Linked DNA regions of Kluyveromyces lactis. The protein of the gene in region 1 interacts with the protein of each later gene in a biochemical or structural test. Links are inferred from orthologs where the notes say so. Each region holds a gene or a part of one and is shown in the gene's direction. Other genes may lie near its edges. The genes, in order: KLLA0_E14257g, SHE2 and PUF6.

Evidence for each region.
Region 2: the proteins of KLLA0_E14257g (region 1) and SHE2 form a complex in vitro, tested with the Saccharomyces cerevisiae proteins (2 studies listed by BioGRID). The link is inferred for Kluyveromyces lactis from reciprocal best matches to the Saccharomyces cerevisiae genes LOC1 and SHE2.
Region 3: the proteins of KLLA0_E14257g (region 1) and PUF6 form a complex in vitro, tested with the Saccharomyces cerevisiae proteins (3 studies listed by BioGRID). The link is inferred for Kluyveromyces lactis from reciprocal best matches to the Saccharomyces cerevisiae genes LOC1 and PUF6.

The regions. Positions count from the first base shown.
Region 1 is NC_006041.1:1,262,015-1,264,434, reverse strand, and holds KLLA0_E14257g (Loc1p), read left to right. Parts: upstream 1-1,192; coding exon 1,193-1,816; downstream 1,817-2,420. UniProt on the Saccharomyces cerevisiae protein: Required for efficient assembly and nuclear export of the 60S ribosomal subunit. Involved in asymmetric localization of ASH1 mRNA.
Region 2 is NC_006038.1:1,092,646-1,095,361, reverse strand, and holds SHE2 (She2p), read left to right. Parts: upstream 1-1,379; coding exon 1,380-2,105; downstream 2,106-2,716. Other genes in the region: HFD1 (hexadecenal dehydrogenase), read right to left, coding at 1-1,123; EUC1 (Euc1p), read right to left, coding at 2,204-2,716. UniProt on the Saccharomyces cerevisiae protein: RNA-binding protein that binds specific mRNAs including the ASH1 mRNA, coding for a repressor of the HO endonuclease. Part of the mRNA localization machinery that restricts accumulation of certain proteins to the bud and in the daughter cell.
Region 3 is NC_006039.1:1,047,582-1,051,646, forward strand, and holds PUF6 (pumilio-family RNA binding domain-containing protein), read left to right. Parts: upstream 1-1,531; coding exon 1,532-3,520; downstream 3,521-4,065. Other genes in the region: myo-inositol transporter ITR1, read left to right, coding at 1-976; CORVET complex subunit VPS3, read left to right, coding at 3,731-4,065. UniProt on the Saccharomyces cerevisiae protein: RNA-binding protein involved in post-transcriptional regulation. Component of the ASH1 mRNP which transports the ASH1 mRNA to the distal tip of the bud, where the ASH1 protein is translated and targeted to the daughter cell nucleus.

The DNA.
Region 1 (2,420 bases):
TGGACATTTCGATCTCCTGATCGGGTTTTTCTGTACTTTCTGGACGATAACCTGGGGATTTAATTAAGAGCTTCGCATGTGTTATGTAAACTATTTATGATGTTCTTTGGTTCTTCTTCGATATTCTTCTTGGTATATGCCGTCTAACATACATATAAATGTAGAACAATGATAGATATATCGTCAAATTCGAATGGAAGAATTCGATGAAGAAAACTCTATTTATATATTTTCGGGATTTGTTGATCAATAACAATATGCTATCGTATAGATCCTAGTTCATAGCGGCTCCAGTAGTATATTTACTGCTTCTGAAAAAAAAATGACACCTTAGAAGTTCTCTCACAACTCCATACAATAACATCTCCACTACCTTCTTCCCGGCTTAATTTTTTAATATTTATTATTAATTTCCTATTGAAACAGAAAATATATTTATTTTTCGGAATAGTAAAACTATACAATATTTTAAAATAAATTGAATTAAGTTTTATTTAAATTAAATAGATAATTATAAAAAAAGTAAAAATTTATTTATTTCTATTATGAGAAAATTAATAGATATTTTCTCTAGAAAAATAAAAGAAGAATTAAAACTAATTTGAAATTATATTTTATTTGCACGTGATATATATACATCACTTTGTTCACTACTGTCTTGTTTAATATACAACATAACTATATGGATTATCATTATTATTACTATACTTAAAAAGACAATTGAAAGAAAAACTAATATCATTCGGATATCTGACATTTAAACTCCAGCACAGTGTACCTATATTACCTTATACTAGTCGTGAGTTGTGTACTCTGTATCATCTTATTGTTTCTGATCATTTATTCATTTTCTATCATTATTATATTTTTTTATATTTTTTTATCTAATTTAATTTATTCTATTTTATTTTAATTGTTTATTCTATTTTTTCACATTGACATGCAGGAATTCAAGAAATAAAGTGTTACCAAGCGAAAAGAAATAAAAATAAAACTTTTCGATGATGAATTGAGCTCATCTCATCGCTTTGGTAGAACACTATCACAACTACTACAAAAGCACAACTGGACTTGAATTTATACCTCTGGGTACGCTGTCTACTAGTTAAACCGCGAGACAAGTCTGAATTTACAATAATCAGACTTATAGAAGAAAAATCCTTGACGCATAACAATCCATCGAACTTGAAAGATGGCTCCCAAACAATCAAAAACGGCTAAGAGATCCAAGAAACAAAATGGAACGAGGGAAGTAAGATCAGAAGTATTCGAGGACTCTATTGCCAAAAATCAAATGGCAAACGTGCCTAAAATGACTGAAAAATCTGATACCAAGAAACCAACCAAGTTACAGGTGAAGAAGGATAATTTCAAAGCACGTCTATATGGTAGCCAGAAGAAGAAGGAAAGACGCTATACCGAGAAAGAATTAAATATTCCAACACTTAATAGAGCGATTGTACCTGGTGTAAAAATCAAAAAGGGTAAAAAGGGGAAGAAGTTCATCGGTGATCATGATTTAATAGCGTTAAACAGATTAATCAAAACGATAGGTGATAAAAATGATGAAATAACAGAGAGCAAATTAGAGAAGACAAGGAGACTCGAAGAAATTCGTGATCTAAAGAGACAAGAAATGGAAAGAAAAGAAACCGAAAAGAAGGAACAACTAGAGGGTAAGAAAGATGAAATCAAGAAGAAGGCATCCGTTGCCAGAACTATTCGTAGGAAAACCAAAAGGCAAGAACTGAAACAAGAGACATTAGCAGCTCAGTCTGAACCTATCAAGAAGAAGAAATCTGTCAGCTTTGCATAGTTAATACATCAATTTATATATGCATATGTGTGTATGTAAATGGAGGAATCGATAACCTTTTAGCATCGATCATGTGACTAAACATATTAAAAACATTAGATTACCGTTACTGTAACAACTGGAGTTAATCAGCGTTTCAGCCTCAACACAATTTTGGTGTCAGCAGCTGTTCAAAGATTCGGATATGAGGGCGCATGTGTGTATCCGGCTGCCATGTCGGTCTTCTATTTTCTAGTCATTGTTGATGATGAGAGAACAGAGACATTTCAACGTTGTTGGGGACTTCCATACAATGCAGATTGAAAAGTGGGACATTCTTACGATTCTGAAGCCAGATGATAAAAAAAAAAAAAAAGAAAACTGACGCTGCTCTGCCAGATACCGTTATTGACAAGATGCTTTCAGCTGGTAAACACAAGCACCATTTTTTTTTACGTGACTTAACTATTCTGAGTTCATCTAGTATTCTGGTAAAGCAACGGTCAAAAACTCATCCCTTCAGAGTTTGGCATGTGATTAACAAGGAGGAGACAAAAGGGTCGTCAATTTAACCCGTTCCAAATGCAATGATCGTCGGTTTATTCTTTTTTTTTTTGTCAACTAG
Region 2 (2,716 bases), on another chromosome or scaffold:
CATCCAAATCAGTATATCTCATGATAGGTAAGATGGGTCCAAAATTCTCACCGGTCATACTTGGATCATCCCAAGAAACGTCTGAGATTATGGTGGGTGGGATACATAACGGTGGGAGATTGTCTGAATGTTGAGCAACAGTTTTTTGACCCTTAGTGGTCTCAATGACGGTTTGAATCCTATTGTAGGCTCTTTCGTGAATCATGTGAGTATATTCAGTGTCAGAGGTGACAGAAGGGTAAAACTCATTCAATACTTTCTTGCAAGAATCAACAAACTCATCGTAGATCGAGTCAGGGCATAGGACATAATCTGCGGCGACACAAATCTGACCTGCGTTCCCCATAGAACTGTAATAAATTCTTCTTATTGCAGTCTCCCATTGTGATTTAGGCAAGTTGGGGGATATAAACACTGGAGACTTCCCACCAAGTTCTAATACACATGGTGTTAGACTCTTAGCAGCCTTCTCTGCTATGATTGTCCCAACGGTCGTAGATCCAGTGTAAAATATCTTATCGAATTTACCGGATTCGACTAAAGCACTTGTTTCTTCAGCGCCACCTTGCACCGTCTCCACTTGACCCTTTTCAAACGCCTCATTACATATCTCTTCCATTACTTCAGCACATGCTGGTGTCAATTCACTAGGTTTGAACACCACGGAATTACCACCGGCGATGGCTCCAGCTAATGGATCCAATGCCAATAATATGGGGAAATTAAACGGAGAAATGACAAGAACGGTCCCCAATGCGATCTTTTCCACGAAAGTCGTACCGAACCAATGTGCAAGTAAACTAACCTTAATCTTCTTTGGTTCGATCTCTTTCTTCATGTTTTTAATCAAATAAAGGATATTGTTGTACAAGGGGACTAATTCAATAGTAAGCGTTTCACTTCTTGCCCTATGGAAATCCTTACTTGCTGCTGCAATAAGACGTTCCTCATTATCCTTCACTGCCCAGTAAAGCTTCTGCAAACTCCTGATCCTCTCATTGATATCAGTAGCCCTAGGGGACTTGCTTTGGGCTAACCTGGCTTGTCGAGACCTGTAAAACTGCTTAGCAAGCTCAATCTTGCCAGGAATCGACTTCAAATCTGTAAATTTAAACTTGGACATGTTGCACTGGTTGTTTGTCTCAACTGATGTAACAACTACCAACTTCAAAGTAAACTAAACTCTTAACTGACATTTGTGTATTGTGTTTCGGTATTTAAAGGTTTACTTCTCCAATATTCTTAGGTTCTTTAAATATTAAGGCTTTTCGGTTTTAATGTTATCCGGTGAAGACCAGCGATGGGCATGAAGAAAAAGCATTTAAAAACCGTTTAAAGGGCCCACTAACTGCTCAATTGGTTTAGTTTGACAAGTTATCATGGCTTACTGTCAAGTGGTTATCTCGAAAGAGATTCTGGATGCTGTGTTACAATTGGTTTCCACATATTCAAATTATATATCAAGATATGTGGACTATTTGAACAACCTTATCGCAGTCCAGCGTCGTGTGAGCACGCTACGTTTCGAAAGGATGACATTGATCAAGTACGTTAAGAAACTACGGTTCATGGCTGATGTTTTACACAGCTGGTCGTTTGAAGGTGAGAATGATCTTATTGGAAAACGGTTAAACGAAGTGATCGATCCATTGGGAGCATATTTAATCAAAGTGTTTGAAATATTAGACCTGTTGAACTTCTACATTACACAGCCGATGAGAGGCGAAACGATCTCTAAGACTTTGAATGAGGATTTGGTCGTTAGTGAGGAGACCATTGTTTGTATCAATGACAGCTACAGGATATATATCAAGGGAATTCAATGGTTAGTAGAATCGATCAGTGAAAGGAATGGCAACTGTCCTCACCTGGCACTAGAGTTGATTGAATTCACTAGAAAATGTGCCATTGAAGATGAGGTGGATTTCACTGCTAGCGAAGATATCTTACTGCAAGACGTTGCCATTGTGGAAGTAGAGGAAGAATACGTTGACCTGTTGCATGATTGGTCTGCGATCCTGGTGCAGAAACAAACAGAAATGAAGGAGTTGTTCTCAGAGGACTCAAAGAGATGGGCTTCAATGACTAAACCGGTCAAGAAGTAGGTGAGGGTATCCTACACGTTCGCACATATTTGTATATATATATATATAGAATATAGAATATCAAATTAAAAAGTTACATACAGTTCGTCATACAGGTCTCATGTCATGATGGAATGTTCTTCTGCCAACTGGGATGGAGTCTTCTTCTTCTGCCTGCTTTTGATTTCTCGAATACTTGGAGCGTCTTTGTTCTTCAATGATAACGAATAATCGTCATATGAATCCATATACTTAGAGAAATAGAGGTAAAGTTGTGCTAAGGTCATACAGCAGGGCGATCCGTTGTTATATCTGTTGTTACCCACGCGTAAGTTTTCAATAACGCGTACAGCTTTCCTTCTGGTGATGTCAAGCGGGAGGTTAAACCTCGAAGGTTCACGAAGAATCGTTTCTATCCTTTGTATTATTACGTACCTCTTATGGAAGAACGTTCTTTCACCTGCACTGCTTCTCCAAGTAGATCCGAACCTTCTTTCAAGAGCCATCACGGATGGCTGACCCGGTAATCCCTCGTAGTACTCCCTTGCAAGGTCAGTTACAGTCTTGATGGCTCTGTTCATACGATACCGTTGAATGAATCCATTACTACCATGAGCATTGTTACTGTCTGC
Region 3 (4,065 bases), on another chromosome or scaffold:
GCGTTTCTACGTGATAAAAGGTAACTATAAGAAGGCTGCAGAAGTTTTACAAAAGAGTTACATTAACGCTCCCCAGGAACTTATCGATCAAAAAATCCGTGAACTATCAGATTTGAATGAGGCTATCCCAGGTAAGACCCCTGTACACAAGTTCTTCAACACTGTCAAAGAATTACATACTGTCCCATGCAATTTCAGGGCATTGGTGATCGGTTGTGCTTTACAAGGTATTCAACAATTCTGTGGTTGGAATTCTTTAATGTATTTCTCTGGTACTATTTTTCAAACTGTTGGTTTCGAAAATTCTACTGCAGTGTCTATCATCGTTGCCGGTACTAACTTCGTATTCACTTTAGTCGCTTTCTTTGCGATTGATAAGGTCGGTCGTAGAGCAATCCTTTTGATTGGCTTGCCTGGTATGATGGTTTCCTTGGTTATGTGTGCTATCGCCTTCCATTTCCTAGATATAAAATTCACTGGCGCTGGTGAATCGGAAGTTTCCAATGGTGGATTCAGTTCTTGGGGTATAGTCGTTATCGTATTCATCATGGTATATGCAGCATTCTATGCTCTAGGTATCGGTACTGTACCATGGCAGCAATCTGAATTATTTGCAACATCCGTTAGAGGTGTAGGTACTTCTTATTGTACAGCTACTAACTGGGCTGGTTCCCTAATTATTGCATCTACCTTCCTAACAATGTTACAAAACATAACACCGACTGGTACATTTTCATTATTTGCTGCACTAGCTGCAGTATCTACCGTCTTCTGTTATCTCTGTTATCCAGAACTATCTGGTCTAGAATTGGAGGAAGTACAAACTATTTTAAGTGATGGATTCAACATCAAAGCTTCCAAACAACTAGCCAAGAAGAGAAAGCAACAAAATAGCGAAATGCAAAGGAGATTTAGAGAAAAGGACATGGAAGCTTATCAAAAGGATAAACCCTCCGATGAACTACTTGAAAGTTAATGTAAATGCAGTCATTCCCTCTTATTCTCATACCCGAAGCTACTGTCTTGGTTTTTCAATGAACTTCATATGAAGTTGAGTATATAGATAACCATAAAATCTTTTAGAATTAACAACTATAGCTGCTAAAGTTGTCCACAATTACTACTGTAATATTATCATTGTCATGTGTAAAACTCAACTTGTTTGTGATTTACAATAAAAATCTCGTTAGTTTGAAAGGGTGACATTTACTCATTTCATAATTAACTAACTCGGAAGAGAGAGCTTTCGAGAAATAGAGCTAAATCTTTGAAGCATGTAATAAACTGCCATATTCGGTTTAATCAGCCAAATCCTGTACCAACTGTATATTCCCCCCATCAAAAAAAGAGAGATTCTGGCGAATGTTTATTTGAGTTCTTTCTTTTTAGCATATTATGAAAATTTTCTGAACTTGAAAAAGAAGCGATGAGATGAGATGAGCTTATACAGTAGTAACTGCACTATGGGTAGCATTAAATAACAACATATACATTCTTATTCTCTCTCGTAGGACAATACAGCACTACAGATATGGCAGCCACGTCGAAAAAGTTGAACAAGCGTCAATTGGAATCTAAGGAGTCGAAGGATTCTGGTAAAATTGTAAAAAGAGCTAAAAACATTAGTGTTGATTCTGGCGATGAAGATTCTGATGATGTCCTCCACGGTTTATCTTCAGAAGATGAGCTAGATGATGAATTAGATGATGCTAGCTCAAATTCAGATTCAGACGAGCTAGACAACGAATCTGATCAACTGGATGAATCTGATGAGGATCAAGAAGATGCTGAAGATGAAGAAGATGCTGGAACCGGAAATGATGCAGACAAAAAAGAAAGTAATGGTGTCAGCCAGCATGCCGAACAAAGAAAAACATTAAAGGAGAGAAAACTTCAGCGTAAATCTGGTGAAACAGTCCAGCAGATCAAGTCTTTATGGGAAAGATTACGTGTCAAGAACCCTCCAATTCCAAAGCCTGTCCGTGAAAAGCTATGTAATGAGATCTGGGAACTCTCGAATGATTGTATTGAAGATTTAGTATTGAAGCATGATGCATCCAGAATTGTCCAGACATTAGTCAAATATTCTTCCAAAGAGCGCAGAGAACAGATCACGTTGGCATTGAAAGATAAAATTTATGTTTTGGCCACATCATCATATGGTAAATATTTGTTGGTTAAATTGTTACATTATGGTTCCCGAAAATCTAGACAAATCATAATCGATCAACTACATGGTAATTTGAGAAAACTAATGAGACACCGTGAAGGTGCCTATGTGGTCGAAGATTTGTTTGTTCTTTATGCCTCTCAAGAACAAAGAAATCAAATGATCAGAGAATTTTGGGGTTCAGAATACGCCGTATTCAGAGAATCTCATAAGGAACTTACGCTCGAAGAAGTTTGTGCTTCCAGCGTAGAAAAGAGAAATATTATCGCTAGAAACTTGATTGGTACCATCACTGCTTCTGTTGAAAAAGGTTCGGCAGGTTTCCAGATTTTACACGCAGCAATGAGGGAATACGTCAAAATCGCCAACGATAAAGAAACATCTGAGTTCATCGAACTTTTAGAAGAGAACTTTGCGGAATTAGTGCATACCCCAGAAGGTGCAGAAGTTGCATCTACTTTAATCGCTAAAGCAAATGCCAAAGAAAGAAAGGGGTTGATAAAGACCTTGAAAGAACATGCAATCAAGTTAATTCAAAATGAACACGGTGCCGTTGTTTTCATAACTTTATTAATGACAGTCGATGATACTGTTCTCGTCTCCAAGGCATTTTCCCCACCAATTAAGGAACATCTTCCAGAATTGATTGTTGATAAATTTGGTAGGAGGCCGCTCTTATTCCTACTTTTAGGATTAGATGGTAAATACTTCGGTCCAAATATGAAGAATGAACTACAAAGATACATTAAGATGTCGGAAACTACTTCCAAGAAGCCATTTGACCAAAGAAGACTTGAATTATTAAAAAGGTTCGCACCAATGATTTTATCTGGCGTAAACGAACACTACAAAACCATTCTAGATGAAAACATCGGTTCTCAATTTGTCGCAGATTTACTCGTTAACGATGATGTCTATGAACAACTTTCAGAGTCTGATCAAAAGTTGTTTGCCGAGCTTGTGGACACCGTCGCCATTTATTTCAAAGGTGACATTTCAGAAGAAGACCACCCTATTAACAAACCATTTTCGGCAAGGTTGCTAAAGTCTCTCATTCAAAATGGTAGATACAACGTGAAAGCAAGAAAACTAGAACCTCTAGAAAAAGTTCAGGGACTTGGTATTCCATTTGCTGAAAAATTTTATGAAGACATCATTGATTCCAGCAACCTACTCGATTGGATCAACAAACCCAACAGTTCTTTTACCATTGTGGCATTGTATGAAGCCTTACATGGGACTGAAGAAGGGGAACAATTCGATCATGATTTGAAAAAAGTGATCAAGAAAATAGAGACGAACGATTCAAACAAGGGTGCTCAACTACTTCTAAAGCTAATGAAGCATTGAGTATGTATAGTCAAGTCGTTATATAGTTTGGCTCTAAAATATGTATATTAAAGATGATATAGCTTCTCATCATTGTGGACGAAGGACGTTCTAGTCTACTATTAAGATTCACACTTCCTTAAATGAGACTATCATCTGCGAACCAGAGATAATACAGCTAAGAACATTTATTCCTCAATTCACTAATTACAGCAGTGGCATTGATGGCTTATGAATGACGATACTAAAGAGAAACCCATTTCAACTGCCTTTGAAGTAACCGATGGATTATATGCTGTTTCACCATTAATCGAGAATGTGCCTCATGAATATGAGTACTCATGTATCGAATATTATGGTCAGCACATCTACCTGGGCTCGACTTCAGGAGCGTTACTACACTATTATGAATTAGATGTTGGAAATTTCACACTGATCTCGGAAGTCAACTTCAATGAAGACAGACCAACAGGAATTGATGGCATAACGCTACTGCCGAAAATTGATAGAGCCTTAGTGTTGTCCGAAGGGAGACTCAAAATGTTTCTCCTGCCTGAATTTGCACC